Linked DNA regions of Notamacropus eugenii. The protein of the gene in region 2 purifies or fractionates together with the protein of the main gene of each other region. This does not show direct contact. Links are inferred from orthologs where the notes say so. Each region holds a gene or a part of one and is shown on either strand. Other genes may lie near its edges.

The links.
Region 1: the proteins of SKP2 (region 2) and E2F1 purify together in Homo sapiens (affinity purification with western blotting; 6 studies listed by BioGRID). This does not show direct contact. The link is inferred for Notamacropus eugenii from reciprocal best matches to the Homo sapiens genes SKP2 and E2F1.
Region 3: the proteins of SKP2 (region 2) and cadherin-1-like purify together in Homo sapiens (affinity purification with western blotting; 3 studies listed by BioGRID and IntAct, with this or other methods). This does not show direct contact. The link is inferred for Notamacropus eugenii from reciprocal best matches to the Homo sapiens genes SKP2 and CDH1.
Region 4: the proteins of SKP2 (region 2) and CCND1 purify together in Homo sapiens (affinity purification with western blotting; 3 studies listed by BioGRID, with this or other methods). This does not show direct contact. The link is inferred for Notamacropus eugenii from reciprocal best matches to the Homo sapiens genes SKP2 and CCND1.

What each region holds. Positions count from the first base shown.
Region 1 is NC_092872.1:417,786,149-417,793,756, reverse strand, and holds the start of E2F1 (transcription factor E2F1), read left to right. Parts: upstream 1-4,593; 5' UTR 4,594-5,067; coding exon 5,068-5,322; intron 5,323-7,608. UniProt on the Homo sapiens protein: Transcription activator that binds DNA cooperatively with DP proteins through the E2 recognition site, 5'-TTTC[CG]CGC-3' found in the promoter region of a number of genes whose products are involved in cell cycle regulation or in DNA replication.
Region 2 is NC_092875.1:424,995,222-425,002,943, reverse strand, and holds the start of SKP2 (S-phase kinase-associated protein 2), read left to right. Parts: upstream 1-4,710; 5' UTR 4,711-4,961; coding exon 4,962-5,247; intron 5,248-7,722. UniProt on the Homo sapiens protein: Substrate recognition component of a SCF (SKP1-CUL1-F-box protein) E3 ubiquitin-protein ligase complex which mediates the ubiquitination and subsequent proteasomal degradation of target proteins involved in cell cycle progression, signal transduction and transcription.
Region 3 is NC_092872.1:708,185,843-708,193,563, reverse strand, and holds the start of cadherin-1-like, read right to left. Parts: upstream 3,014-7,721; 5' UTR 2,770-3,013; coding exon 2,710-2,769; intron 1,697-2,709; coding exon 1,582-1,696; intron 1-1,581.
Region 4 is NC_092873.1:21,909,317-21,916,919, reverse strand, and holds the start of CCND1 (G1/S-specific cyclin-D1), read right to left. Parts: upstream 3,008-7,603; 5' UTR 2,754-3,007; coding exon 2,556-2,753; intron 1,316-2,555; coding exon 1,100-1,315; intron 391-1,099; coding exon 231-390; intron 1-230. UniProt on the Homo sapiens protein: Regulatory component of the cyclin D1-CDK4 (DC) complex that phosphorylates and inhibits members of the retinoblastoma (RB) protein family including RB1 and regulates the cell-cycle during G(1)/S transition.

The DNA.
Region 1 (7,608 bases), on a different chromosome or scaffold from region 2:
CATTATTAACTTCATTACTCTGTATTACAAATCTGCATTATTAACATTTTCTTAAGTCTAGACAATCAACAAATCAAGTCCAGATTTGTAGCAGTCACATTTCTAAAGTATACATACTCCCACTAAAAATTTAACAATGGGCTCTGATTAGAGCTAGTGCCAGGACAGTCCTGTCACAGCTTGTTCACAGCTATCCACCATGCACCTCTGTGTGATCCTCATTTTCTATTTTTTTTGGCATTGGATATACAAAAGCCAAAATGGAAACAATTCCTGCCTTCAAGGGGCTTACATTCTATTAGTGAGGCCAGACTTAATACTGGAAATTAAACTTCTAACAGCAGACCCAGGAAGCAAGATTTAGGAATCAAATATCAGACAGGACTAGGCAATATAGGACGTTTTTTTCCTCTTAGGTTCTGTGCCTTCTTACTAGAGTTGTCCAGATGTCAGGGCTAGAGATGAGACAGGGCTCTCTCTAAGTTGGAACAGGTGCCTGGAGTTGGGCCAGAAAGCCTGGTGTGGTAACCAGGACTGCATATTGGTCCGGATCCAGGCTCTGGGTGCACCCAGGAGGCACCTGAATACATAGGGAAAGCAGAGGAGGAACAGAGAAAGACCAACTTTGCCCACTTCAGGTTTTGCTTTGGGTTGGCCTCAGGTTTCAATAATTAATACTGTACGATGAAAAAAAAAGGCAGCTTTAGGATTGCCTTGTGTGGCTCAAACTCTGTCAGTCTGAGTCTGAGGTGATGACAAGCATCTCCAGCCCAAGGGTCGGTTCATGCAAACTCAAGCATGAGTATGATTATTGACACCAACAGGAAATCTTATCAGCAGCTCTCAGGCTAGGAGCCCTAGAACAAGAGCGCTCAAAAGGGCTAAGGCTTCTGGGTATGACATCTTTCAAGTAGATATTAACAGATAGTGTTTAAGCTTCTATCTGCCGCTGAGCTTATGTGCTGCCTTGGGCCAGTCCCATCTACTTTCTGGACCTCTTTTTCTTTATCTGTAAAGAAACTGTCCCTTCTCACTCAAAGGATTCCAGTTTAGCTTGTTTCTTTTCCAGTCTGCTCTTCTCCTTGAGGCTGGGGACAGGACATCCGTGGCATGTGGCCCAGAGGAAAGAACTATTTATTTTCATCCTGGAAGTCTGCAGCAATTTATGTGGCAGATCAGCCTGTTCATAGGCTGCCCTAGAATTGAGGGAAGGGTCAACCCCAAGGCCACAGGCAATACCAAACCAAGGAATGGAAATGGTACCAGTATAGGGGTGTGCCCTTTCTGAAGTCTGAAGAGGTGAAGTCCCAGCTAAAATCCCATCTTCTTCAAGGAAACCTTCCTCATTCCCCTTAATGCTGATGACTTCTCTACCTTGATTATCCCCTATTTATCTTACATACTTATTGTTTGCACGTGGTTGTTTTCATGTACCCCCCACTAGACCGAGAACTTGTAGAGAGCAGGGATTAATCTTTTGCCTTTCTTTGTATCTCCTGGGCCAAGTATGGGACCATGCACATAGTAGGCTCTAAATAAATGTGTTTTGGACTGACTGACTGAGATTAAAGCAGCACTTTCAGTGAAAAAGGAAACAATACATTCCGGGAAAGAGGTCTAAGGCTCGGATAGCTCCAACGAATATGAAAAGGCCTGCGGAGACTACTAGGTTGCCTTAGAGTGAAGACTTCCTCTTTGTTCTCAGTCATAAGACCCCCACCTGTCTTAGGGGAATGGTGACTTTCTGGTTTCTATAATAATGGGTTCCCAGGGAATCCAGGTTGTGAACTGGAATTATAAAAACTCTCACCTCCTGCTGGGGTACTCTACCAGCCTGGCCCTGGGTGAATTGTGGGAGGGAACCCAGAGGGGACCCTACCCTAATCTCCCTCTCTGACTCCTAGAAGGATCATTTCCTTCTTACTACTGATCCACACTGCTTGTTCTTGACCCAGTGCTGCCTTCTTCAAGAAAGAATCTTGCTATTGCTACATCTGCTTCATGACATTCATTCATTCATTCATTCATCATTCATTCATTCATTTATTCATTCATCCATCCATCCATCCATTCAACATCTGTTATGTGTCTGCCCTGTATTGGGTGAAATACAAAAGTTTAGGTCTGATACAATCCCTCTGTCTTTCTTGCTTTTCCTGCTCCTTGGGCTTACAGACCTGCCTTCACTATTCTTGAGTGCCTGTTTCCCAACTAGACAGATGTTGCCGAGTCACCTCTAAAATGACAGGCAGTTGGTGCTGCAGTGGATAGAGAACAGGGACTGGAGTCAGAAAGACCTGAGTTGAAATCTGACCTCACGAATATACTAGCTGTGTGACTCTAGACAAGTCACTTAACCTCTGTTTGCCTCAATTTCCTCAAAATGGGGATAATAATAGCACCTCCTTCCCAGGGTTGTTGTGAGAATAAAATGAAAGAATATTTGTAAAAGTGCCTGGATTGTACACAATGTTTATTCCCCTTTCCCTTCACTTCTAAAATGAGGGAACTGTCCAGTCCAGAGGGTAGATCTGGGCAGCTTGGTAGGTTGCAAAGGTTTTTTGCTGTAGGGGTTGGGTGGGGGTGGGGTAGAGGGGTGGACCATACACACCCAAACCCAGACCTTCTCTGAGACTCTCCCATCTCTCAGTAATGATCTCCTTGGAAATCAGGTACGTAGGTTGCTAATCCAAAACCAGGTGTTTGCAAGCAGCTACAGAGAATCTGGGCCTGAGGACTCCCATAATACTTTTAAGATTCCAAAAAAACCTGGTTTCTTCCCAGGGCTAGTCCAGTCCAAGTTAATTGGTGTGTTCAGTTTCCCCAATCCCTGTCAATTTGAGATGACAAGGGAGACTGAAAGGAGGAAGGATCTCCCAGAAGCAGGGGAAAATCCATTCTAGGCCTACATAGGAAATATGTTAATTTGTCTTAATATCTTAATCTTTAAAAGGGAAAAAAGGAATGCAGAGAATTGAAAGCCTCTAGGTTGAATGGGGGGGAGGGGAAAGTTGTCTCTCAGGTCAAAGGGGATCTATGTCTGTGAGACAGGTCTCTGTGGTAGTGGTGTATCTGTAGAAGTAGAGATTATGTGTTAGGGGGTCCACGTGTAGGATGTTTCAGGGTTTGGGGATGGTCTGTGATTCTGGTTTCTGGTATGAGGGAGTCTTTGAGTCCCCAAGTTTGAACTTTTTCTGGGGGAATCTCTCTGGGCTAAGGGTTCTGTGGGTGTTTGGAGGAGGGTGTTCCTGGACTGAGGACCTGGGTTTGGGGAATTGGGAGGGTGTCTCTCAGATGACAAGCCGGGGGGGGGGGGGGGGGGGGGGGCTGTCTTTGAGTTTAATTGTCAGTATCTCTGAACTGAAAGGTCTAGGGGAGAAACTCCTCCAGAGTTCATATGAATCTCTGCAGTCCTTGTGTTTTCGATGGCTGTGCCCCATGACTGGATTGTCTCCCTCCTCTCTGCTGCCTCCTGCCATCCCTGGCCCCTTTTTAAGAGGAGGCTCAAATCCGACCTTCTGCAGGAGGCTTTTCCTAGTCCTCCTACTTCTCACTTCCTCCAAGTACCTTTCCTATGTTTGCACAGTATATATCTTGTATATACAGTTCTTTGCCTGTAGTCTCCTCCATCAGAAGGTAAACTCGGTTTCTGCCTTTCTTTGTACCCCCAGCACTTAGTTCAATGTCTGGCACATGTTGTTAGTTAGCTGAGTGCGACTCTACTGTGAGCCCATGACATGGGAAAAACCATGGGGTTTTCTTGGCAAAGTACCGGAATCGTTTGCCATTTCCTTCTCCAGTGTGTCCTTATTTTACAGATGGGGAACTGAGGCAAACACAGGGGCGGCTGGGGTGGTCAGCCTTAAGTCTAGAAGACCCCTCAATTCAAGCCTCAGACACTAGCTACGTGACCGTGGGCAAACCCCGTTTGCCTCATTTTCTCCTCCGTAAAAATGGCAAACCATTCCAGTATCTTTGCCAGGAGAAGCCCATTACGGGGTCACGACTGAGCGACAAAGCAACTTCCCCAGGGTCACACAGCTAAGAGGTGTTCTTATAGAAACTCAGATCTCTCCGACTTCAGGCCCCGCGATCTCTCCAGGGCACTGCCTCGCTGCCCCTGACTGACATATAGGAAGCGCTTCATAAGTGCTGGCTCGGCAGGGCAGACGCTTTGCAACGCTTGGGGAGTTGGTCTGGGAAGGCGGGGGTGAGGGGAATCTCGGAAGCGTACCTGGCAGGGGTGGGCTTCTCGGAACTGAAGGAGAGGTGTAGGGGATATCTGGACTTAAGGGGTCTTGTGGGAGGGTTCCATCACCAGCTGGAACGGGGCGGGGCGGGGTTGGGCAGGGCCGAACTGGGCAGGACCAGAGCTTCCGAGTCCGTTCCTTCCCGGCGGCGCGCCTCCCGGACAAAGCCTGCGCATTTTCCTGGCGGTGATTGGCTGAGAGTGACGTGCTGACCGCCCCCCTTGGACACGCAGGCCGGGGCCGGCGCGCCGTAACCAATAGCAGGGCTCGGCGCCGGCGCTTCTCTGTATCAATCTCGGAGCTGCCAGCCAATGGGAGCGCCGCTACCCGGCTCGTGCCCCTTTCGCGGCAAAAAGGATTTGGCGCGTAAAAGTGTCCGGGACTTTGCGGGGATCAGCTGGAGAGACCAAAACAAGCTCCCAGCCCCGGCTCCGGTCCCGGGCATTGCTCTGTCCTCCAGTCTCCCGCCTCGGCTCCATCCGTCTGTACGGATCCCATCACTACTGAACCCCGGAGTCCAGGACCGCGCATGGGCCAGGGCCCTCTCGGAGCCTCCGGCAGCTCGCGCCCCAGCCCCGGTCCGGGGCCCTGAGCCCTCGCCGGGCAGGCCAGGCCGAGCCGGAGACTATGGATCTGGGATCCGGAGCAGGCTCTAGTGCCGAGACCCCCGGCAGCGGATAGTGCCCCGAGAGGCGACCGCGGAAGCCCGCCCAGCCTCGGGCCGCGCCCCGCCCCAGCCCTCCCGGCCCGCCGGCCAGTCCCTGTCCCTGGGATGTGAGCCGGTGCCCGGGGGAGCGAGCGAGCCAGCGGAGCCGCCATGGCCCTGGACGGCAGCGGCGGCGGCGGCGGCACGTGCGTGGCGGAGCTAGAGGCCCTGCTGGGGGCTGGGGGGCTGCAGCTGCTGGAGCAGCAGATCGTCATCATCTCCACCCAGGACGAAGGCCCGCTCAGCGCCGCCGCTGTCCCCGTCACCGCCGAGGGGCCCCGAGAGGCCGAGTTGCTGCTGTTCGCTACGCCCCAGGCGCCCCGGCCCGGAGCCAGCGGACCCAGGCCTGCCCTGGGCCGGCCTCCGGTAACTACTCCACTCCCCGCCCTCCCAGCACCATGGGCGGGCCTCGGCCCCGGGCATCTCTGTGAGCATGCATCTCCACGGCGGGACCCGAGCGCCAGGGGCCCTGGGCAGCTTTCCAGGGCTGATCCCACGGCCAGGAGGGCGGCTCTGCGGGCGGGGGCACGGCTGGAGGGGAGTCTAATCGGCTGTACCAGATGGATGGGTTTGCGCCAGAGGGAGCCCCCTTGCAATGCGCCTGCCTCCGGGGTGGAGCTGAGCTGTGGCCGCCTCACAGCGCTGGGGACTCTCTGTACCTTTGCCCTCTCAGAGAACGTGGCCTAGTGCTCCGAGGCCGGGTCTGGATAGGAGGGGGGCGGCGGTGGAAGCTGGCTTTCTCCTCCCACTGGACGGTGGGCTCTGGCCTTTAGATACTCCCAACCCCCTCCACTCAGTGGAGAGACCCGACTCTGGCTGCCGAAGGGCAGCCCTTGGCCTGGGGCAGAGCTGAGATTGAGGATGGACCCTGGGTGTCAGTATTTGAGTCTGTTCAAAGTCCTGTTTTATTAACCACATCACCGGTGGCAGTAAAATGAGGTGGTGGGTTTGTGTCAGTAGGAGTGGCTACACGCTGTAGAACAGGAGTGCTCTTTGCCAGGGCTGGAGTGTGTGTGTGTTTGGGGCGGGGGGGAGGGGGGGGCAGATCATAGTTGATTCAAGAGGAGGATGAGAAAGAATGCTGTGGGGTCCTATGCTTGCAGCTGCCCACCCAGTGCCCCTGTAACATCTGCTGAGTGCCCCTGGGTACTCGAAAGGTGCCCAGGTGTGGGCGCTGCCTTTCCCGGCTCTGCTCTCTTTGCCCCCAGAAATGGACCAAAATTGAAGTGGGCTGTTTGTGTGAGGCCTCGGCAAGGCGGGAATGGGTTCTGCCTCTCCCCCATTAGGGAATGAGGGTACAGCCTGGAGTGGCAGCTGATGTTCTCCCTCCCACCGCCCCCTCCATCTGTTGGTCCTCTCCACCTGCCTTCATATTTTCAAGGGGCTTGTTGCCATAGTGTCTAAATGCTCAGTGAACTTGTTCAGCTCCCCTAGGCCCCCTGGGGGAGGGGAAGGGAACGGGTGACTGAGCTGGTCCTTGGCCTCTGTGGTGTGGTGCCTGGGTGGCTGGGGGAAGGGCTGAATGAGGCAAGAGGGAGCAGTTGAGCTGCTTGTGGCAAGTAGTCTCCCTCCCTCTGCACCTCAGCTGCCCTGCCCCTCTCATCCCCCTTCCCTCCCTCCATTTTCTCTATGAACCTGTAGAACCTGGTTGGGTTCCCTTGGGTTGAGACCAAAGAAAGCTCTCTCTGCTGTTGGAAGCCAGACACCAGGCCCTGGGTTTGGCCTTAGTATCTGGTCCTGATAGCACTGAGACCCCTGGAGGTTGGTGGTCCTACCTAAGAGGAACTAATGTGGGAAAAGGGGGAGTTAGGAGAGCTGGCCTCTGTACCTGGGACAGTGAACTGTACAGATTGGGTTTGGCCTGGGATTCCTAGGACATGTTTTGTGGTCAAGTCAGAGTCCTAGGGCCTTTCCAAGGGACTTCCCCAAGGATATCTGGGATATTGATGAGGCTACTGGATTGTGTAGTCTGGAAGAAGGAGGAGGCGAACCCCAAACAAAACCTGTCTGAAAAATTAAAAAAAGTCTTGGCCCTGGGGAGTGTTGAGAAAAGGGAATTACAGCAGATGCACCAGTCATGTTGGGAAAACTTCCTGAAATCTAGGCCCTTCTTCAGCAGCCAGCGATTCCGATTGGCTGTAGTGTGTGTGTGGCTGTGTGTGTGTGTGTGTGTGTCTGTGTGTGTGTTGGGGAGGGAGATGAGACTGCAGTGGTTTTTTGGATAGAGGTCGTAGAAGGTCTCCAAATCATATGGCAAACCCCCACTGTGGGCTGTGATAAGGTGCCCTGCTAAGTTGGCTCTCCTGGGTAAGTCAGGGAGAGGAGATCCCAAAAATGATCTGCAGACCTACCTCGTGCCCATCTGAGTCCATGCCATATGGGTTTCCTGCCTTCCCTTATTGAACTGGAAAAGGAGCTGCATTCCCAGGGGACTGATAGTGGTGGGGAGTGGCACAGAGGCATCAGAGTGTAGAGGAGAGAGTCCTAGATTTGTGGTTAGATTTGTGGTTAGGAGCTGGGTTCTAATCTAACTTCCACCACTTATCTACTTATCCCTCTCCAAGTCACTTCCCTGGTTTCCTTATCTGTCACACAGGGCCTCATGCCTCTATATGGACTCTGATGTCTCCCTTTTCTCCTTGCCCTGTTTTG
Region 2 (7,722 bases):
TGCTGTTGATCTGTACTGATAGATGAAATTTCCTATCTCATTAAAATCAAAGCTCCAAATTAATAACAGTAATGATTTCTAAGTCTCACAAACAAGATATACAAGAAGTGATTAAAATTTATAATAAGAACGATTCCTCAATAGATAAATGGCCAAAGGACACACATTGGCAGTTTTCGAAAGAGAACTTACAAGATATCACCAACTTTATGGGAAAAAAAAGTTCTATATTAATAATAAGTAGAGAAATGCAAATTAAAGCAACTTCAAGTTTCAAGACAGTCCATCAAACTGGCAGGTGACAAAAGAAGAAAATAACAAATGTTGGAGGGGCTGTGGGAAAAACAGGTACACTAGTGCATCGTTGGTGGAACTTTGAATTGGGACAGCTATTCTGGAAAGTAATTTTAAACTATGTCCCCCAAACTATGAAAATGCTCATTCCTGTTTAACTAGCTATATCATTACTAGGACCATATTCCAATGAAATCAGAAAAAGAGGAAAAGGATTTATTTGTACAAAAATATTTAGAGCAATTCTTTTCATGAGAACCCCAAACTGGAAACTAAAAGAGTATCCTCTCATTAGGGAATGGCTAACCAAGCCACAGTGTACAAAAGTAACAGAACATTACTTTGCCAAAAGAAACTTAAAAAATGGGACAGTTCGAGAAAGACCTCTATGAAATGATGTAGAGCAAAGAGAACTAGGAAAACGACTTTCCCCAATATCAAAATTGTAGAGTAAAACAAATTTGGAAAACTTTAGAAGTCTGACCAACACAAGTCCAAAAAATGATGGAACATGATACCTCTTGACAATGTGGTGATAAATTAAAATACATAAGACATGCATTTTCAGACACAAAGTAGGAGTTTGTTTCATAAGCCTACAGCTGTTGTAATGAGGGCTTTATTTGGTTAGTTTTTTTCTTACCCTGATCCATGATTTAGATAAAGGGAATGGGAGAGATTAATAAAGAAAAAAATGACATTTAGTAACAAAAATAAATTCCAAGAATTCTCTCTTGAATTTAAGTTCATTTCTCTTGTTCAATCCTTTGTGATAAAAAAAATTGATCTGTAATCTTCACCTTGAACACTCTTCATATACTTCAAGATAAACATTAGATAACCCCTATTTATTTCATCTATCAACTCCTTGAGAAACTCCTACAATGTTTAGGATCCAGAAACTAAAGAAGTCTCAAAAGGCAGAACCAGAGTAACTATGACAAAGGGTAGAGTAGATGCTAGAATGTTGTAAAGAGAAAAAAAATTCAGAGCAGCGTAAAGCGTAGTATTAAACTTTCAAGAAATACTAAACTTTCTGAATTAGTTGAAGATTAACTGCTTATGGTGGACATTATGTGAGGGTAAAGTAGGAAGACAAGGAGTCAGTTTTAATTAAATATGCCTTTAAGGCACATAGTTATTTTATCCTTTATCATTACAAATATCAACCAAGGAAGTCATACCTACTTTGAGAATGTTTTATATTTAACAAAGTAAGAGACGCTTTCTGGAATATTCTACTTAGGTACCTAAAATTTCTGACTATACACCATGGACCTTGCCCATTTATCCACAAGGTAAACAAATATCCCTAATACCTTTACCTCTTTGTTTGTTTAAGAGCCAAAGAGAACTTAAAAGGATTACATCCCAGTTCTTATTTAATGTAGGTGATAATCATTACAGCTGAGGCGGCAAGTATAAGTGTGGTTGAGATCTGTGATTTCAGTGGCATAGAGAACTCAAGTTCTCAACTGTAAACTTTCACCACCAAAGCAGATGCCTGAGGCACTGGAGATAAAGTGACTGTTCCAGGGTCAGTCGGTAATATGTCAGCACCAAACCAAGTTTCCCTGACTGAGGCCAGCTTTCTCCATCTACTATTCCCACAATTTCAGCCTGGCTTCAGTGCCATTATTTCTATAAAAATGAATTCTTAGCATATTTGATTTTTTGATACTATTACACTATCCTTATTCCTATAACTAATTCCACTTGTAGTCAGCTGTGATTCCTTGTTCTTATTCTGTTACGTCCGTGCTCTGCCATTCGCCCCCTGTATCTGTTTTTGCCACCAAGTACCTTACACATCCCAGTAGGATTTAGTCCAATAGAGACAGGTCTCCTTTACCATCACTGTGAATTCTATTTCAAGCTTCCAAAGTGTTGGCAAATCCCTGCTCAATGGCATCAAATACAATAAGCCCATTATTAACTCACTTACCTAGATCACTAATAAATCTCTTTACAATAATCCTGGTCATGGAATAAGAATCATATCTTTGTGTAAATGCAAAACGAGGTGTTAAGGAAGTGAGCCTTAATACAAAAAAACCTAAAATTCATCAAGGGTCTGTATTACTCAGGAAATGCTAAATCTAAGCCAGGTGCAATCAAAGCTTGTGGAAAACATCTAACTGAAGCTGATGGGCTGGATGACTCCAAGTTTAAAATGGACAAAAGCTGGTTTTAGGCTAACACTCTCAATAATTTAGATAAACTGAAGGGAGTTAAGATGATGGGTCAGGACTGAATATGATGAATAATAAACTAACCCCCATGAAGCACGCTGAGGAGGCTGCAGTCTGCGGACACCTGTTCCTCCAGGGCAGGACTGGGCTCTCTAGAGCTCCACTCAGGAGGTTCAACAAGAGGTCCTGCACAGTCCACCCACCCGTAGCCTGCACACCTTTGAAGTGAGGGCTGAATGAGAGATGTTCCTAATTCACAAACTGGAACTTCAGACCTTACACTAAGCGACACCAAAGACGCCACATTCCAGAGAGGGTATGAGTCAAGAGAAAGCCTAGCCTGCAGACGGATATCGCAGACAGACAGCCAGTCTTTATGGAACCCTTCCCGTATCTCCAGGTTTTCTAACCGTAGTCACTAGTTAATTATCAACGATCTGTGCAAAGGAAAGGGGTAAAGACAAAAGGGTTTGCACGTAGCTTGGGCACACGTCCTCTTTGACCTAGACGTACTCTTTTGGATAAAAACATAATTATTTGCACTGAAACGCTCTTTTGAATGTCTTCTTCCCCAGAGGAGAGATGGAAGAACTGTCGAACCTTCCGGACTGACAGAAGAGGCGAGGGCGCGTCCCCGCCACGATAATGTCACGATAACGAAGCTAAAAATGGCTGGGAAAATAAAGATCATCCGCTTACAAGAACCACCTCAGTTTAGTGAACTACGCAGAGGAAGCCTCAAGCTGACGTAGTTTGAAATAAAGACAGCCAATTCAAGAGGTATCGATCGTCGCTACCGCTTAGCAATCACCCTTTTGTTTCCCCAAAGCCTCCTTTTATTTTCAGACTCACAGGCACCCTAACCTCCGGGATCAGGAATTCCCTGAAAGGAAAGGGGAGAACGCACCCCCCTCCCCATCCATCCCAGCCTCCGTCCGTCCGTGCGTCCATCCACAAAGAAGCTGACCACTGAGATCAATAACCACTCACATCCGGCGGGAAGGAGGCTTAATTGTGCCCACAGATACGTCATCTTTCCACGGTTCCGAGCAAAGCCGGGGCAGGACCCGAAGCAGGACCCGGAGGCTGCTCAGGGACTGCGGCATTAGGCGGGGGGGGCCTAACAGCGGAGCAGAAAGCGTCCTCCCCGCCCCCCCCCCCGGGAGGCCCGCCCGGAGCCGCAGGTGCCCGTCCTGCCCGGGGCCCGGAAGTGGTTCCGTCATCCCGGGGGGGATGTCCTCCACGTCTGGGCCCTAGGACCCGCACCTTACGGGGTGACGACCCGGGGGAGGGGGCAGGCGACCCCCCCCGTTCCTTTCCACGCCTACCCCCACCCCCGGCCGCAGTGTGGTGATGCTTCCCAGGACAGACTCGGGATCCCGGGGAGCCGCCCCTCGCCGGCCGCTGCCCCCGACTCACCCGGACGACTGCGCCCCCCTCAGCAGGCGCGGCGGGCCCTCGGGGTCGCCATCCCCGCCTCGGCCGTCCCCCACGGCGCGTTCCCGGAGCCCCGATCTCACCGTCCCGCCGGGGGGCTCCGTGGGCCAACGGGCAGAGGGGCCGCGAGGACCCGCCGGCGCCTCCGCCGTCTCGGGGTGAGCGCGGAGCAGGGCGCCAGGCAGCGCAGGAACACCGGCTGCCTTCAGGCCGGTGACATTTCTCCGCCGGCCCCCTCCTTCCCTTCCGCTTCCTCGTGCCTACGTCACCGCTCTCCCCAGGCCTCGCTGGCGTCCCGCCCCGCAGGGGCTTCTGGGTTATCGTAGGCGGGGCCGGAGTGGGAGGAGAAGTGAGAAGGGGCGCGCGAGAATACGAAGAGTGGGCTGAAGAGACGGCCGCAGACCGACGATTTGGCAGGAGGAAGGAGACTACAAATCCCAGCAGGCAGCGCGCCTGTCCGGGGCCGCCTACCGAGAGAGGGAAAAGGTTCCGCGCGCGGGTTGAATGGGACGCTGCCCTGCTGGGTCCGGCTCTGCCTGCGGGGCGTGGAGGTGCGGCTGCGGCTCGTGGACGCGGGAAGCCTGGAGATCCGGGGCTGAGCCATTCATGCGAGGACTTAAATCCCCTAGTCTGCCCCGGCAAGTCCATCATGCACAGGTAACCAGACCTATTTGCGGGGGTGCACAGCGGAGGTATGGAGGAGAAGGAAAATGTGGATGCTGTGCCTCTCCCCTGGACCTGCGCTGTTTAGCCTTCCCCGCTTAGGCGCTTAGGGGCACGGTAAGTTGGCCAATGGAGGCTCTGGCCTCGTGGCTCTGGGAGCTTCTCTCCAGCCTCCCCGGCCGGGCGTGGGGGTTCGTGTTTTTTCCTCCTCTCCCCCGTCTCCCCCTCCCCTTCTAGGCTTTTTAGATAAATGCACATGTACCCCAGCTCACCACTTAGCAGCCACCCGGACGGCTGAGACTCCCCTGTGCGTTCGCTGCCTGTGCCAGCCCGGGTTGGTTTGGCTCGGACGCTTCGTGGGGGGGATGCTCATTGATGGAAAGCTTGTCAATTTCCTGCAGGAAACACCTCCAGGAGATTCCCGATACAAACAGCAATGTTAATTTCACCTTCACGTGGGGCTGGGACCTCCACAAGACCTCGGATCTGCTCTCAGGCATGGGGGTTGCAGTTCTGGAGAAGGAAAAGGTGGACACTGAAAACATCCCCCAGGAGCTGCTCCTCACGCCAGCCCCTCCGCCCAAGAAGCAGAAGGTGAAAGCCAGGGAAAAGGACTTTGTAATTGCCCGCAGGCCCAGGCAATCCAAAGAGAATAGTTCAGGTAAGTCTGAAAGCCTGAAGTTTGCTTGTTGTACTGCAACACTTCCAGGAGTTAGTAGAAAACTTTTAGGGATGACCGCTAAGCACCAGATCATAGGTTCGGAGATGGAAAGGGGCCCGTGGAGTTCAACCCCCTCTTTCCACAGATGAGAAAGTTGGTAAGAATAAGGTCTTAGGGCAAGACAGGTAAGTATATGTCAGAATCAGGACTTGAATCCTGGTCTTCAGACTCTAAATCCAATAGTGTTTCCAGATGTATTATATTTGCAGATCTCAGTTTGGAGAGTCCATTGAATTATGAAATGGTATATGGGGGACAGAGCTATCAGGATCTGGTGTCCCTCATCTTAACACATACTGGATTTGTGACTTTTGGCTAGTCTCAGTACTTAAGACAGTTATATTGGTACAGGGATGTTCCTCACCCTTTGTTTTCTAAACTGATTTAATTATTGTTCCCAACAAAAAATATAGATTAGCCAATGCCTTCAGTCTTGTCCAGGAACATTTAAAATTTTTACCTTCTGGTCATGATCTGCTTGAAGATATATCTAGGTACATTCCAACCTTTTCACTAGATTTGTGACATGCAGAAGTGAATACATAAATCATGGGGAAGAGTTTGTAAGGTGAAGATCTTGCAGGTTTGTGCTTTGGTTTATACTGTGCAGTACTGCCCTGTACTTATGCATGGGCCTTTTTTCTACAGTCTCTACACTTGGTATTGGATAAGCACTGAATCCTAGATGGGCAATTAAGGACCTTAGGCTTACTCCTAGGTTAGAGTGCCAGACAGGGAGTCAGAAACTCTTCCTGAGTTCAGACCCAGCCTCAGCCACTTACTAGTTGTGTGACCTTGGGCAAGTCACTTAACCCTGGTTGTCTCAGTTTCCTTATCTGTAAAATGAGCTGGAGAAGATGGCAAACCACTTCAGTCTTTGCCAAGAAAACCCTAAATGGTTTGAATAAATGGAGTCAGGGAGAGTTAAGCATACTAAAAAGACAGAAATACAACAAAAGGCTTACTCCCCTGTGGCAAAAGGCTAAGTAAGTATTAGATTAAGTGATGACCTTACCTGAGAAGTAGGGGGAGGAGTTAAAAAGTTTGTTCTGTCCATGAAGTTCTGGAACAGAGGCAGCCTAAGTCTGGTTTCAAAGGCTACTGACCTTACAAACAATTTAGATTATCCCGAGGGGAAGAGAGGAAAGCAGTGAGGTGCAATATCAAAATAATAGACTCATTTCTTTTTTTAAATTCATTTATGTTTTCAGTTTTCTACAATCACTTCCATAAGTCTTAGATTTTCTTCTCCTTCTTTACCCTTTCTTCCCCCCTCCCTCCCCAAGATGGCACACAATCTCATGTGGGTTCTATACATACATTCTTATTTAATGCGTTTTCACCTTAGTCATGTTGCATAGAAGAGTTAAAATGAATGAGAGAAACCATGAGAAAAAACAAAACATAACCCAAGAGAAAATATTCTGCTTCATTCTGCAGTCCTGTTCCATAGCCTTCTCTGGATGTGGAAGGCATTTTGCCTCAAGAGTCCATTGGGAATGTTTCAGGTCCTTGCGTTGCTGTGGTTGTCTAAGTCTACCAGAAAAAGTCCTCCTGCGCTGTGGTTGTTACAGTGTACAAAGTTCTCCTGGTTCTGTTCCTTTCACTCAGCATCAGTTCATATAAGTCCTTCCAGGCCTCTCTGAAGTCTTTCTGTTCATCATTTCTTTTAGCACAATAGTGTTCCATTACTTTCATATATCACAGCTTGTTCAGCCATTCCCCAATTAATGGGCATCCCTTCGATTTCCAGTTCTTGACCACCACAAAGAGAGCTGCTATAAATATTTTGGTACATGTGGGACCCTTTCCCATTTTTATGATCTCTTGGGGATACAGTCCTAGAAGTGATATGGCTGGGTAAAAGGGTATGCACATTTTTGTAGCCCTTTGGGCATAGTTCCAGATTGCTCTCCAGAATGGCTGGATCAGCTCACAGTTCCACCAACAATGAATTAGTGTTCCAACTCTCCCACATCTTCTCCAACATTATCATACTCCTGTTTTGTCATGTTAGCCACTCTGATAAGTATGATGTGGTACCTCAGAGTTGTTTTGATTTGCATCTCTCTAATCACTAGTGATTTAGAATATTTTTTCATATGACTACGGATAGCTTTAATCTCTTCCTCTGAAAACAGCCTCTTCATATCCTTTGACCATTTATCAATTGACAATGGCTTGTATTCTTATAAATTTGACTCAGTTTTCTATGTATTTTAGAAATGAGGTCTTTATCACAGACACTACTTGAAAAATTCTTTCCCAGTTTTCTGCTTCCCTCCTAATCTTGGTTGCATTGAGTTTGTGCAAAAACTTTTCAATTTAATGTAATCAAAATTATCCATTTTGCACTTCATAATGTTCTCTGTCTCTTGTTTGGTCATAAATTTCTTCATCCTCCATAAATCTGAC
Region 3 (7,721 bases), on a different chromosome or scaffold from region 2:
AAAAAAGGGAAAAGGTCTCACATGTACAAAAATATTTATAGCAGTTCTTTGTGGTGGCCAAGAACTGGAAATTGAAGGAATGTCCATCAATTGGGGAATGACTGAACAAGTTGTGGTATATGAATGTAATGGAACACTATTGTGCTATAAGAAATGATGAACAGGACTTCTAAAAAGCCTGGAAAGACTTATATGAACTGATACTGAGTGAAATAAGCAGAACCAGGAGAACACTATATACAGTAACAGCCAAAGTGTGGAAGGACTGTTTCTGATAGACTTAGCCCTTCACAGAAATGCAAGGACCTAAAACATTCCCAAAGGACTGTTGAGGCAAAAATGCCATTCATATCCAAAGAACTATGGAACTGAAATGCAGAATGAAGCAGGCTATTTTCTCTTGTGTTATGTTTTGGTTTGGTTTTTCTCATGATTTCTCTCATTCATTTTAATTCTTCTATGCAATATGACTAATGTGAAAATGTTTAAGAATGTATGTGTAGAACCCATATAAGATTGCATGCTCTCTCAGGGAGGGAGGGAGGAAGGGGAGAGAGAAAGGGGAGAGGGGGAGAAAAATTTAAGACTTATGGAAGTGATTGTTGAAAACTGAAAACAAATTAATTTTTTAAAAATTTAAAAAATGATATTTGTTTCCTAATTATTTCACATGTGCTTATTTGGCCTCTCCACTTATATTTCAACCGACTGAAAGCAAGGACAAAAAATGAATGTCTAAGGTAAGAGATGACCTCAAATTTTAGACTTCAAATCCAGCACTTTAGGGCTGATCTTGGGAATCAAGAAGACCACCTAAGCACATAATTTCAGGGTGACCAAGGGCCAGCCTTCAGGCAACTGTTTAAAATTAAGTTACAGTAGAATTGCTCAGAAAGGGGTGGAGGTTGGGGAGAAATTTCAACTTCGATAAAAATCACAAATCCTCATTTAAAAAAAAAGTCAATAGGAAAAACTAAAGTGAAACAGCAGCTCTCACACTGAAACTGGAAGATACCATATTTCACTCATTTACACAGTGAATAATATTCCAAACTTCCTCCTCACTTGGCCAGCCAGGAAGAAACTCAAACGTAATTATGATGGCACTGTGATAAGGCCAAGAAATGACCAACTCAATCACATGCTTTTCCTGAGTCAGTTATCAGGGCTGTTTTTTTTTAAAATCAATACCTATAGGAATATTATCAGTTCCATTTTTATCCCTAAGAAGAAAAATTCAATACTTTGCAAAGATGGGGGATGAGGGGACGCTCTTAAATAATTTAAGACTTTAGGTCTCGTACAAGATAATGAGACAAAAAGAAAAGTAGAGACGTTGGCAAGTTCAGTAAGTATTTGTTGAGGCGGGGATAATTTCCAAAGGGAAAAGGGATTCCTACACACAGAAAACCCAACATAAAGGTTAACTTCATCAAAACCCGAGCGCGAACTTTCCCCGCTCCCGCCCTCAATCCAAGGGCTGATCACTTTCCTAGGTCATCGATTCCCCACCCACCCCCTGGGGCTGGGCACCGGAACAGCAGGAACAGCAGCCGTTCCCCTCCCCCACAGGCCGCTTACCTTGGCCCAAGATTCGGCCTCGCTCCAGGTGTGGCCGGGACACCTCGAAGGTGTAACTTTCGGAGGCAAAGCCCGGACGGCAAAGCCCCGTGTCCTCGCAACGCCATAACGACGCCTAAGGGGGGAAAAGGGGAGGTTTGGGGTGACTGGGAGCTGGAGGGGGTTGCCTTCCTCCCCCGCACCGAAACCTGCCAGCCTCGCCCCAGTGGGGGTTGGGGGTGAAGACGGCCTGGTCCCGGGCCTTAGCCGCTCCCTCCCCACCAGAAATCCGTACAGCCGGCTGCTCCCAGGGGACTCGGAGAGTTTTGCTGAGGGGCGAGAAGCGGACCAGAGTCAGCTGTGTCCAGCCCAGACGGGTCAAACTTCCCAAATCAAAGCGACATTTCCCCTCCCTCGCAACCCGATCCCATCCAGCCAGAATCCCTGGGTCACCCTCCCCTCTATCCATCTGCCCTCCTCCAAACTCACACGCTCCCCAACTCTCACTTTTACAGGAGATTCCCACCCCGAGAAATGCCCCTTTCAGTCACAGATCCCATTAACCCTAAACACACTAGAGATCCGCCCCCCCCATACACCAGCTCTCCCCAGGCTCATCTCTCCCCCCTGCCCAGATCCACCACTTACAGTGTGACTTCAGGGCCAGCTCAGATTTCTCTCCTAAAACTTTGGGTACAATGTACCAAGCCCCCCCCCACACACATACACACACGCACAGACCCCAGAGAAAAGGAGAAGGGTGGCGACCGAGGGAGGTGCCGGATCGGCGCTAGGATCCCCTAAGCCGTGCGTTTCCCCACTTGCCCCCTCGCGGGGCAGTGCGCCAGCTCGTGGGCTAGAATACCCCTCGAAAGCAAACCAGTTCCCGAGGAGAGTCCCGAGTGCTGGAGTAAGTTCGGTCACCCATGGTGGGGGGGTGGGGTAGGAAAGGAGCACAGGAGGCGAGGGAAGCTTAGGGGAAGTGAAGGGAGGAATCAGAGGAAGGGATGGGTGTAAGGAGGGCTCCTCTGGGCTGTGAGAGGCCGGGGGCAGCCGAAGTTCTCTCCAGGGCAAGGATCAGCGTCTCCCCACATCTTTCTTTCATCCACCCGGAAAGTGCCCCATCCCCCTCTTGCTCCGGGGCTTTACCTGCAGCAGCAGCAGCAGGAGAGAGGTGAGGCTGAGACACCAATTCCGCCTAGTGCCCATGATGGGGGCGCCGGGGGTGCGGCCGCAGCTGGGGCAGGAACGCGGCAGGGGCTGGGGCCCGAGCGGCGCAGCTCGTCGGAGGCGCAGGTGGACCAAAGGTTTTCCAGTCACTTCCAGGGGCCAATACTGCGGCTCCAAGCCAGCGGCCAGCCAGGTGAGCCCCGAGGGACCCGCCCCGCGGAGCTGCTGATTGGCGCGCACGCACACCTGCGCCGGGAGGAGCCAATGAGACAGTCTGGATGGCCTAGCCCAGCCCAGGCAGCTCTCTTTCCCTTCCCTGCCCTGAAGTTCTCAGGCTGTCTACCCACCCCGGGCAACTGATCACTCCCTTTTCTAGCCCTCGGAGCGGTGACTTCTCATGTCTAAGTCAGAAGTTGAACTTCCGATCTTTCACCGCTGCTTGTGGTCGTCTGCATCTTGGAGAGCCCGGACAGTCCACAGCCGGACACCGAGCGGTACACATTCTAAAGAGTGGCATCGGTGGGAGAGCGGCTGCGAGTAGGAGAGAATCTCATTGCAAGATTCACTGAGAATGTCTTCTCCCTAAGTCCCATATTGTCTGGTAAAAACTGGGAGTGGGGGTGGGAAGATTCCAATACGCGGTGAGGGCTCTGAGTCGGGGAATCTCCTTATGAAGTAACTCATAGGCATCTGAACCTTTTGGGAAATGTCTTTTGATCATCTTTTATAGTGTGGTAGATTCCCACAGGTGAAAATGGTCCGCACAATCCAACCCCTCCTGAAGTAGGAATCCTCGCTTCAGCGTCCCTGGAAAAAGGTTAAAGGGTCAGAACGTATCACTAATTCCCAGACCCCTTCCTTCCCCCCTCCCCAACTTTCTTGCTTCTTGCCTGGGGATGGTCTTCAACTTTTCTGCATGTGAGGATTCTTTTTAAGTACAAAAACATTTCCAGAGCAGCGGTGACTGTAGTTGTACTATTAAACAAAAAACTTTCTAAGCGTTCATAACAACTTAAAAGTTACTAGTAAAATATAAATGTATTCAAAACCTTTGCAACAAAGTTTACATAATTCCAAAAAGTTGCATATTATTAGTTGGACTTACATAAAAAATCCAAATGACAATGATTGCTAGGCAGATGACATACTAGTCAAGTGCATTATTTGGAGTCTAGCCAACCACTATTACACATTTATTATGTACTGTGCACTTCCGTAAGAGCTGGAAAAAGATTGAGAGCTAAGGTCCTGGGACTACAACAAGGGAATGCAAATAGAAGCAAAAAAGAAAGTCTGCCCTCAAGGAGCTTACTTTTTAAAGGAAGAAAGACTCACCTAAAAGAAAGCTAAAAGCTGTTGGGAGGGGAAAAGAAAGAAGGAGCCTATTGAGAAGGAACCATGGAGAAAGATGTGAAGAATCAGTCATGTCAGAGGAATGAAAGAGCATTATGGCTGACCTGAATTCTTCCTTAAAATAAAGGTTTCAGGAGAAACTAACCAAAGAGAAGAAGGGAGAAGAAGGAATCTCCCAAGTTGAGAAGGCAGCAAAGTACAGGGCATCTCCCAGGGTGAGATGGCATCAGGGTACAGCCACCTTCCACAGTAAGAAGGATGCTTTTGAGCATGGTGACTTCCCAAGCTAAGAAGACTTGGAACATGGTCAAGAAAGTTCTCAGAGTTAGGAGAAGAACTGGAGAGATTGGTGTTAAATAAAAATTAAAATGTCCATAGGGGTGGGAGAATATAGATTTCCCTATCCCTTGAAAAAACCCTTGCTATTTGTCATCCATCATAAACTGGGAATCACTGACCTAGAAGATTATTAAGCCCACTTCCAGTAATGAATCCTAAGACCATCTTCTAAACCTGGAAGGAACTTGATATCAGGTAATTTATACTCAAGTGTGAATCATGTCACAAATTCAGAGTTGGAAGGGACAGCTCCAGCTGCCTTCCCAGTGTTCCAACCTCCTCCCCTAGATTTGTCCTGGACACTCCATTTGGGCAGATGTCAGAAGTAAGGTCAGTTTTCTTGTCAGTAATTCATATTTTACTTTTACTTTAAAACAAAATTCAAGGTATTTTCCTACACCAAAGCAATGCCATTCTTATCAATTGCACTTAGAAGATGTGGCATATTTTACTTGTGGGTCTGTGTAGTGTAGACTTCACACAGGGTAATCATAAAAGATATTCTCATTTCAATACTTTTATCAGCTACCACTTTATTTTACAATTACCTTCCAATGGCATGCTTGCATTTTCAGGTTGCTCCTTTGGGATTGAAGCCTTGAAAGAGGAAACAGGAACAAATAGAGGAAGTTAAATATGGGGCAAACACCTAAAATAATGTCCAGAATGCCAAGCCCTCAATCAACAGGCATTTATTAAGCACCTACTGTGCACCAGGCATTGAAGTAGGGGCTAGAAATAAAAATATAATGAATCAAAAACTTAAGTTATATAGGAGATGACAAGTAGATAAATGGATAGATAGATAGCTAGATAGTAAATGGATGGGTAGATAGGTATATGTATGAATATACACATACATATTATATATCTGGATATAAAGACAGTTTCAGCTTAAACTTAAAACTGCACTGAGATTTTTGGAATACCCTGTATTTAACTATTTTGCATTTATTTTATTTATATATATATCTATATTATATATGCATATATCTATACACATAAGCTTTATTAAAGCTTTAAAGTTGCACTGAGACTTTTGGGACATCCTATACAGGGATTTTGAGGGGAAGGGCACTATAGGATAGGGAGAGTGGGTCAGAAAAGGTTTCACATAGAAGATGATGCTTGAACTTCTATGAGTTGGAAATGAAGAGAAGAGCGTTCCAAGCATGGGGGTAGGCAGGTCAGTGGAAAGATACCAAGTATGTTAGGGAAAAGCCAGTTTGATTGGATCACAGAGTATGGCAAGAGGAGAAACATTCATTGAGGCTGAAAAGATAGAATTGGGGTAAGGTAGGGAGAGCTTTAAAAAACAAAACAAGTTTCTGTTTATCCTGGAGATATTTATCCTGGAGGCTAAGGGTAGTGGATAGTATAGTGGATAGAGGACTGGTTTTGAAGTCAGGAAAGAATTCTTTTCATGAGTTCAAATCTGACCTCAGACACTTACTAGCTGTATGACCCTGAGCAAGTCATTTAACCCTGTTTACCTCAGTTTCCTCATCTGTAAAATGAGCTGGAGAAGGAAATAGCAAACCATTCTAGTATCTCTGCCAAGAAAACCTCAAATGGGGTCACAGAGAGTCAGATACAATTGAACGATAACAAAGACTACAAGGGCTGATGGACCATTGGCCAGAGCACGTTGTTTCCCTTTAACATGTGTGTTCCACAAAACATGGCAAAATAGAAAGGGAACTTGGTTTCCTGTCTTGCTTTGGCTCTAGGATCTTTAGTGAGTCACTCCTTCTTAAGGCTTCCATTTCCTCATTTGTAAAAAGAGGGAGCTGGATTTCCATGGTCACCTCCAGCTCCCAGAATCCTGGGAATGAAGCTGTCCCAAGAGGGGCTAATCTCATTATTTAAGGAACAAGCCACAAAATGAGAAAAGGGGAAATGTGATTAACCAGGGATAGTTCTATGACAGGAATAACTGACATCTATGTAGGACTTTGAGGTAACAACAAAAATAAATGTAATTTAGAAAGATAGACAGGGAAACTACATTTTGCTAGAAGATAGAATAGACAATGAATTAATATCAACACTAAATATATGCCTCAAGTATCACAATATCCAAATTCTTAAAGGAAAATTAAATGAATTGTTGGGAGAAATAAGCAGTAAGAGTATAATAGCGAAGACCTCAGTTTATTCTGCTTAAACCTATATAAATCTAACCAAAAAAAAGAAAGGAAAAAAAATGAAGGGGCTGAGTAGAGTTTTAGAAAAGACCTCTGGAGACAATCAAAAAGTAATAGCAACTTTTTTTCTCCGTTCTGCATGGTACCTTCACAAAAAACTGATCCTATATTAAGGCATATGAACCTCACAAATAAATATAGAAAAGCAAAAACATTAAGTACATCTTTTATGGACCAAAATGCAATAAAATTATATTTAATTAAGAAATAAATTGTGTGCTTTCTACAAAATCTCTAGGGGAGAAAAGCCTTCCTATGTGAATTTCTTTTTTTATTTAAGAACTTATAAAGAAAAAAGCTGACTGCAAACCGAGTTAAAATTGTTTACCAGCTCTCCCGTTCCTCCAAACCCCATTCCCTCCTTATTAATGGATTTCAGATCATGTGCTGAGGTCATTTGGGTTTATACATTTTAGCAGTAGCTACCACCAGGATAGATCAGTGGAAAGAAGATACAGTACATTTCCTTTCTCGCCAAGGCTCCTGCATTAAACAGGATAATGGAAATGATGAGAGAAACTTTTCCCCCCAGAGGCTAACTGGTCAGTTTATTTTTTTCCAGTTATATAAAAATATGTACTTTATATGATGTCTACTCACTAAGCCATCAATTCTTTCCTTTGCTCCTCCTCGAAAGCCTTCTAGTTCTAATTCCTTTGTGACTTACATGCACTCTTTCCTGTACACTGATAATTCAATAAAAAGGATTTTAAAAAACAATTAGATATGAATTCTGGCAGCTTGTACTCAATGTTCTCTTTCAAAGACCTGACTGCATAACTTCTTTTTTACATGTCAAGGAATCTGTCAGCTTAGGAGAGAAAATAACAATAGAGATCGCAACAACAGTAATAAATAATAGCTAGCACTCATATAGCGCTTTAAAGTCAGCTGAGCACAAAAACTCTGGGAGCTAAGTGCTATTATTAGACTTATTTTTACAGATGAAGAAACTGAGGCTGAGGGAAGTGTGTCTTGCCCAGGGTCACACCGCCTGAGTAAGCGGCTAAGACCAAATTTGAATTCAGGACTTTCTGACTCCAATTCTGGGGCTCCATCCACTACATCACCTAAGTGTGGAGGAGATGACCC
Region 4 (7,603 bases), on a different chromosome or scaffold from region 2:
CATCTGTCCAAGTGAGCCTCCTGCTGCCCTATGCCAAGCAGGCCGGCCCTGGGAAGATCCACCTGAGTGAGCCTCCCGGTGCCTGATGCCAAGTGGGCTGGCACATCCCTGTGAACGGTGGGCACTCCCAGGGCGAAGGAGAGTGCCCAAGCACAGGACCCCCGGGCACATTCGCCTGAGTAAGCCTCCCAGTGCCAAGTGGGTCAGCGGCGCCTCACGCCCCCACATACCTGTAGCACAGAGCGCCACGAAGGTCTGCGCGTGCTTGCGGATGATCTGCTTGTTCTCCTCCAGCGCAGGCATCTTGGACAGAAAGTGTTCGATGAAATCGTGGGGGGTCATAGCCGCCAGGTGCCACTTCAGCTTGTTGACCAGAAGCAGCTCCATGTGCTAGAAGGAGAGAGCACGGGTAGTGCAGGGAAGGGGGAGGGGATGCCCCAGTATGCCCCTGGGGATGGATGCCAGGATGGAAGTGGAGAGGGGGCTGCGCCTCCCCCACCCAAGGAAGGAGGCTTCCTAGGGACGGATGACCAGCGGTCACCACGGGAGGCGGGCGGGGGAAGGGGGGGTGCTGTTTCCAGGAGTTCAGACAAAAGGACCTCCCACCATCTGGAAGGAGAGGAGCCAGGCTCAGGAGCCGCGAGCACGCGGAGACACCGCTAGAGGGCAGCCGCTGCCCACTTTGTGGCCACGTTAGCTCGGTATAAACGTGGTGGCTGGAGGAGGGGAGGGGAAGGGAAGGGAAGGGAAGGGAAGGGAAGGGGGGGTGAGGCAGGGGCGCATCTTGGGGGAGGGCAGGGATAGGGCTGGAAGTAGGCAAAAGGGCTCGCGCTCTGTCTCTGCCCAGCCAGGGTTCTCTCCTTGGGGAATGATCACGGGCCCCATTCCTAACCCCCCCAACCCAGCAGAGAGGACACCCCCTCCCAAGGGCAGCTTGCAATTCTGGGGGCTGGCTGGTCAATGCAATTTGCAAGCTGTGACCTAGGTGGGCAGCAGGCTGGGCCAGGGTTAGGGGCATCCAGGTCTGCTGCCGAGGCCCAGGGGCACCCGACCACCCCCCTTTGCCCCCAGGAAGCTAGGGCACAGCAGGCATCATTACCAGCAGTTCCTCAGGCCGCACCGAGTGGTCCGTGTAGATGCACAGCTTCTCTGCCGTCAGGGGGATGGTCTCCTTCATCTTGGACGCCACGAACATGCAGGTGGCCCCCAGCAGCTGCAGCCGGCTCTTCTTCAGCGGCTCCAGGGACAGGAACCGGTCCAGATAGTTCATAGCCAGGGGGAAGACTTCCTCTTCGCATTTCTGCTCCTCACACACCTGGGGGTGGGAAGGGGGATGGAAGCAGGACGCCAGGGACCCCCAACCCTCCCCGCCCCCCAGAAACAGAAGGCCTGCGATCCCTGAGACACCATCCCCACCCAGCGGGACTGGAGGGGCCCGTGAGGAGGGGGCCGTGGAAAGTGCAGAAAGACCAATCAAGTCAAAGTTGCCCCCCCAAATAAAAACCCAAAACAAAAGCGAGGCCCGAGAAACTGAAAGGAAAAGTGGCCGACCAGAGGGCAAGGGAGCGGGAGGGGGGAGTGGGGGGGCACGGGTGGGGCGGGATGTGGGGGGGCTCCTCCGGGGTTCCTTCCCCTGTCCCCTGGGGGGTACCCTGGGCCCAGGCCACCCGAGGGGAGGGGGCGGCCGGCCTGGCGGCCCCGGGACCAGCGGCCGTGGCCCGAGACACAAAGGTGGCGGCGTCCCCACGCAGGCGGCGCGGCGGCCGCATTTCCCCAGACGTCATCTTTTCAAAAAATATTTAAAAATATTTAAAAAATCGCCCGGCACGTACAAAACCGCTGACAATGAGCCCCGGGCGAAGCGTGAGCGAACCCCGGTCTCAGGGACCGCGTAGGATCTGCTGGGGGCACGTGGGGAGCCCCGAAATGGGACGCCCCCCCCGTGCCCGCAGCGCGCGCGGCCGCCCGCCTCTCTGCCAGCCGGGGCAGCGGCCGCGCCTTCGGAAATTAATTAAAAATACTCAGAGGCCCGAGGGGGGCCGGCCGTGTGTCCGACAATGGGGGACAGGGTGCCCGGGGTCCACCCGCGCCCATCTCGAGCCCCCCCGGGGGCCCCAGCGCGCTCCGGCCCCGGGGCCCCGCGATCTGGCCCAGTGCGGCTGGCTGCGGCCGGGAGGCCAGGACCCCCCCTCCCACCTACCCACCCGAGGGCACAGTTCCCGGAGCGGCTGGCCCGGGCTGCCCCCGCGCCCCCTCCACGCGTGCCCCCTCCTCATTATTAATAAACACTTCTGCTTCGCTATAAATGCGCAAGATGGCGCGGAATACTGGCACGGGCAGCCCCTGCATACGTGTCCTTGGATATTAATTTAAAATAAAATCCCCCCCCTGCCCCCTCCCTCCCCCCCGGCCCCGGGCTCCCCGGCCAGCCGCCTGGCCATCCCAGCCCGGCGGCCCTCGGGCTGCCCTCCCGTGCGGTGCCGTGCCGGGCGGCCGGGTCCCTTCCTTCCCACGGCCCCGGCGGGGCGGGGGGCGCGCGGCGGAGCCCCACCAACCTCGAGCATCCAGGTGGCCACGATCTTGCGCATGTAAGGAAGGATGTCCTTCTGCACGCACTTGAAGTACGAGACGGAGGGCGAGCACGTCTCCTCGGCTTTGAGCATGGTCTGCAGCGCCCGATCGTTGAGAAGGTTGGCATCGAGGTACGCCCGGCGAATGGTCTCCACCTCGCAGCACAGCAGCTGGTGCTCCATGGCCGGCGGCGGCGGGCGGGCGGGCTGCTCCCGGTGCTCGGACGGACGGACGGACCGCTGGACGGACGGGCGGCGGGCTGGACGGCGGGAGCCCGCTGCTGCTCGGGCTGCGGCTGCGGCTTGCCTCGCGGTGCGGAGCGCGGGGGGCTCCGGGCCGGGCCGGCGGGGCTGGGGACTAGCCTCTCGGGGCCCGCCTCGCGGTGCGGAGCGCAAGGCTCGGACGTTGCGGGTGCCGCCGGGCTGCTCGGCCGCCGCCGCCGCCGCCGCCGCCGCCGCCACCGCCGCCGCCGCCGCTGCTACTGCTGCTCCAGCCTCTGGAGGCTCCAGGACTTTGCAGCTCGCCCGACTCCCCTCCCGTAAGTCCCAGTGACGTGACTGTTGTCGAGCAGAGATCAAAGCCCGGCAGAGAATGAGAAAGGGAGAGAGGGAAGCGGGGGGAGGGCCGGGGGCGGGGGGAGGCGAGGCGAGGGGGGCCGAGGGGCCGAGCCTTAAAGCCATCCAGCCCCTCGCCTGGGCCAGCCCAGCTCCCACAGAAGCCGGGCTCGAATAGAAATGCTAATCACTCCGGGACTAGCTTTCTTTGGGGGAAGTACGGAGAGGGGTGCGGGGGAGCCGGGAAGGAGGGGGTCCCCCGCGCTTTGTAAAGGGCAGCTCTTGGTCCTGAGTCGTGGGACAGACCCTGGTGGAGGCCAGGCCACCCGCAGCCAGACGGCCAGGCAGACACGTGAACTCTTAGCGAGCAGCCCCCCGCCCCAGCTAGCCGATGACCAAAGGGGCTAAAGGGGATCGGGAGGCGGGGGCAGGGGGCGAGGCCTTTTTCCCCCTTCGATTTCAAAAATCATTTTGATTCACTGCTGTAGACACTTGGGAAGCTTCTTAGAACGCCCGCATGTATGCGTGCCTGGGCACAAAAGGCCAGCAACTCCCTTGCAAGCGATCCTCCCCTGGAAAAGACAGCGTTTCAGCCCACACTTCCCGGCGTGGGACCCCCAGCTCTTCTGGCCCCCGAAGAGGGCCACAACAGTCCGGGACAACAAAATGGTGGTCAGCATTTCCTCTGGCCTGTCCTAGTACTAAGAGGAAGACTTTAGCCAGGGGAGGGAGGGAGGGAACTCCAGGCAAACCACCTTTCCCCCGGCCTCCTTCCACCTCTCTTCCCCTCCCCACTCAGGGGAATTCAGCAGCGAACCTCTGAATCCACAGGCAGGCGGCAAAATTCCGTCCTGCCTCCTTCTGGGGGAAAGAAACAGAAAAGAGATTGAGAGGGGAGAGGGGGAGGAGAGATCAATAAAAGAGAAAGAAAGGAGAGAGCGAGAAGAGAAAAGAAGAAAAAGAAAAGGGAATGAAAGGGAAGAGGGGAAAGAGGCTCAAGGTGGGCCCCCTCCGTCAGCGCGGGGTGGCCAGGGGGAGCGCACCCAGTTTGGCCAGGGGCACAGTCTTGGGAGGACTTTGGTGGGTTTCAAAGGGAGTGGACAAGAAATTAACAAAACGTGTTCAGCTCATCCGTGGCTCGCTCCATGTGCCTGACAGCGCCTCAGAAGGAGCTCAATAAGTGCGTGTTTCCTCCCTTGGTCTGCAGTGGACCGGCGCTCGGGCTTTCTCCAGCCCAGGGGCGTACACACGCCCCCCTCCAGTCTGGGCCCCTCTCCCACCTTCCTTCGAGATCCCGTTCATTTCACTGAGCCGGGCCGGGGCCCGCAGGCAGAGCCTGGGAAGGGTTCGGAGGGCTTGGAGCGCCTCGAGGGCCCTAGGGTGTTGGAACGCCACGCGTAGCCTCGAGCACGGGTGGGCTCCCCACCGGGCTCAGAGGCCTGGGGAGGAGGCCACGGTTCGGCGGCGTGGAGCCGGCCACCCCGCGCCGCCCACGCCGGGGCCCGACGTCAGCGCCGCCACTCTTTCATTCATAAAATCGCGGCCGTGGGACTGCCCCGCTAAACTGTAGGGCCCCAGGCGGGCTGCGACAGACCCCCGAGCCCCACCGCGACGTGGGCGCCCCCGGAGTTAGCCCCCGGCCACCCAACCGGCTCCGAGGCCGATTCCTGGAGGGAGCTTTCCCCCCTCGCTGGGTGGAAACCCCAGAGGAAGCTGGAATTAGCATTAGCCAATAGGAGACAAGATGTGTTACCAGGCGGATCAGGCAGATCTCAACGAGGAACTAACAGGCTGCATGGCCCGGACCCAGGGACCGGCGCTAAAGTGCACGGTGCGCGGAAAAACGTGAAGACCCGGGCCGCAAGGCCGAGCTCCCCTGGGCCGTCTAGGCTCTGTGGTCCGGTGCGGCCCTTCTTGGGGGGCGACAAGGAGAAGCCGGGGCTGGGAAGCGCTGAGTACACCCAGCCAGTTCCTTGACACCCCGCGTGGGCCGACCTCCCAAAGCACCCGGGGCTGGGAAGTGGAGTGGGGGGATGAGAAGAAGAGGATTGCAGAGACCCCCGAATACCGAGAATTAGTCTATATTTTTTATTTTCTCCGTTTCATACTGCGCTGGCCCTTTCCAATTCGACCCGACGGGGATGTCCTGCACTACAAGTAGTGGGGGGGATAAGGAGAGGCTCCCGGGAGACAATGAACTGACGACCCAGACGGGAGGGGAAACCTCGTTTACTGACCAGAAAGAGCATAATTAAAACGATCTTCCCATCCGACCCCAACTCTGACTCGAGAGTTAATTCAGGCGGATTCTTGTGTGTCTGACTTCGCTGGGTTGTACAGGATCAAGGAAACGATGGGATGGGCCAGCAGGTAGCGAAATGGGGACATTCCGGGGACCACCCCGCGGGAGGCTGGGGGTGCGGGTGTCCCCCGGGCCAGACGCTTTTCCCCCAACTCCAGGTCCATTTGGGTTAGACAGGAAGCCTTCCAAAGACCCGCCGCTCCCCACGTGGGTGGGGGGTGTGGGCTCACCTGCGGGCGTGTACCTGACGGCGACTTTAAAGGCTTTGCTTTCCCACCCCTACCCATCCCAGGTCCATAGCTGAGTTTTCCTGAAGAATGCCTCAGGGAGCGGGTGTGGCCCTCACCGCCCACCACCCTCCCGTCGACTCGCAGTTTCGGGGACCTATCCCGCAAGTCCCCGGTCCCCAAGGTTGTGTGCGGGATCGGGCTCGCTGGGAGCACATGGTGGCGTCCGTCTCTTCTGCCAACATAGCTGGGGTCAAAAGAGGGGGCCTGGGGACCCCCATTCGTCTTCCCCTCCCCAGTCGGGCACGATAAGCTGCTATTAGAGGGGGGCCTCCTGCAGCCCCTCCCTGCCCTCCCCGCTGGGACGGGAGGGGCCTCATAAAACCGACCCGGAGTAAGAACTCATAGCCTCCCTCCTCCGGGCGAGGGCCCGTGGGTGCCCAGGGTCACCGGGAGGGATGGAGGAGGTGGTGCTGGGGGGGCAGCCCAGAGTGCGCCCCCCCATAACCTCGCACAGCCGTTTGTGTCACTCCGTCCCTCCCCGTCCCCGACGGCGGCCTGGGCGAAGGCAGCGCCCCTGCCGCTGCCCCCGTCCCCGCCTCGGCGGGGCCTGCCGGGTCCTGCCCTTGATCTCCGGGGCATTGTTCTGCAGCCAGAGCCTTCGCATCCTTTACCTAGGAATTTGAGAGGGGGCGGGGGCGGGGACTCGGGGAGGGGGCGTCGCTGCGAGTCATGCAAATCTCAGCTTAAGGAAGTTCCAGGGGAGGGAGCGACAACCCACCCCCCATCGCGCGTGGGCAGGGCTGGGACTCGGGGGCTGGCGGCTGCCCGCGTGGGAGCGGGCCGCGGCTAGGCCCGGCCAGTCCAGGCTCGGCCCGGCCCGGCCCCGGGAGCGGCGAGCGCGCGCGGCTATCGCTTTAATTGAGGCTCGGGCTCCGCTCATTAAGAGGCAGCGCGGCGCATTCCGGGCATTCCAGCCGGTGCCTCCGCTCCCCAGGCCACGTGGTGCCCTTATCACCGCCGCCTACCGTAATGCCTGCAAGAGGCGCGCCCTGGCCCAGCGGGGACGCGACGGGACCGGCCCGAACGCCTCCCTCTCTGGGAGTGGCCGTCGGGGCTCCTCTCGGCTCCGCGCAGCCCCGAGCCCCCGGAGGTTGCACCAAGGCCGTAGTAATGACACCTCTGTTAACCCCCGACGGGAGTGTTCTGGAGCGGTTCTAGGCTTGCAAAGTGCCTTTCCCATCCCTGGACCGCGGAGCCTCCAGGCTCAGGCAGGTGGATGTGAAGCGACGTCCCTGGGGTCGAGCAGCTGCTGAAGTGTCCCAGGCCGGGGCTCCTGGACCTCGAGCCCGCACCCCGAACACGGTTCCCATCGCCATCGCACCAGAGAGTGCCAAACGCCTCCTTCGGTTCGTAGAGAGACCCCAGCAGGGAGGCCCCCCTAAGCATCCTCGACGCCTCGCCCCTGAGCAGCCGGGGAGGCTGGACCGCAGCCTCGGCCGGAGCTCCTCCTCCGGCCCATTTTCCCAAGCAGGTTTTTAACTCTTTGCAGGAAGTGCTTACCCAAAGCAAACCTAAATAAAGGCGAGGCTCGGTGGACTTTGAAATCCGGAGTCTCTCTAGGACTTCGACTTAATTCAGCCGATCGTTTACAGTCCTACTGTGTGCGCCAGGGCGGAAAGCACAGCGTCTGGATTTCTCCACGGTCCTGGACCATGGAAAAGTGCACGGATGATCTTTGTTACAATGAATTGAATAAATACAAACATTTCTAGATACAAAAAGAAGAAAGACCCCGTCCTCACATACTTCATTGTACCAAGGTCAAAGCAGCCCCATTCTTGACCCTTCTCTGGAAGTTTCCGAATTTAAAGGAGGGGATGGGGATGGATGGGGAGGGGAGAACAGGGATGTTGAACTTCTGTCGTGTTTCCAGCAACAAGATAAGA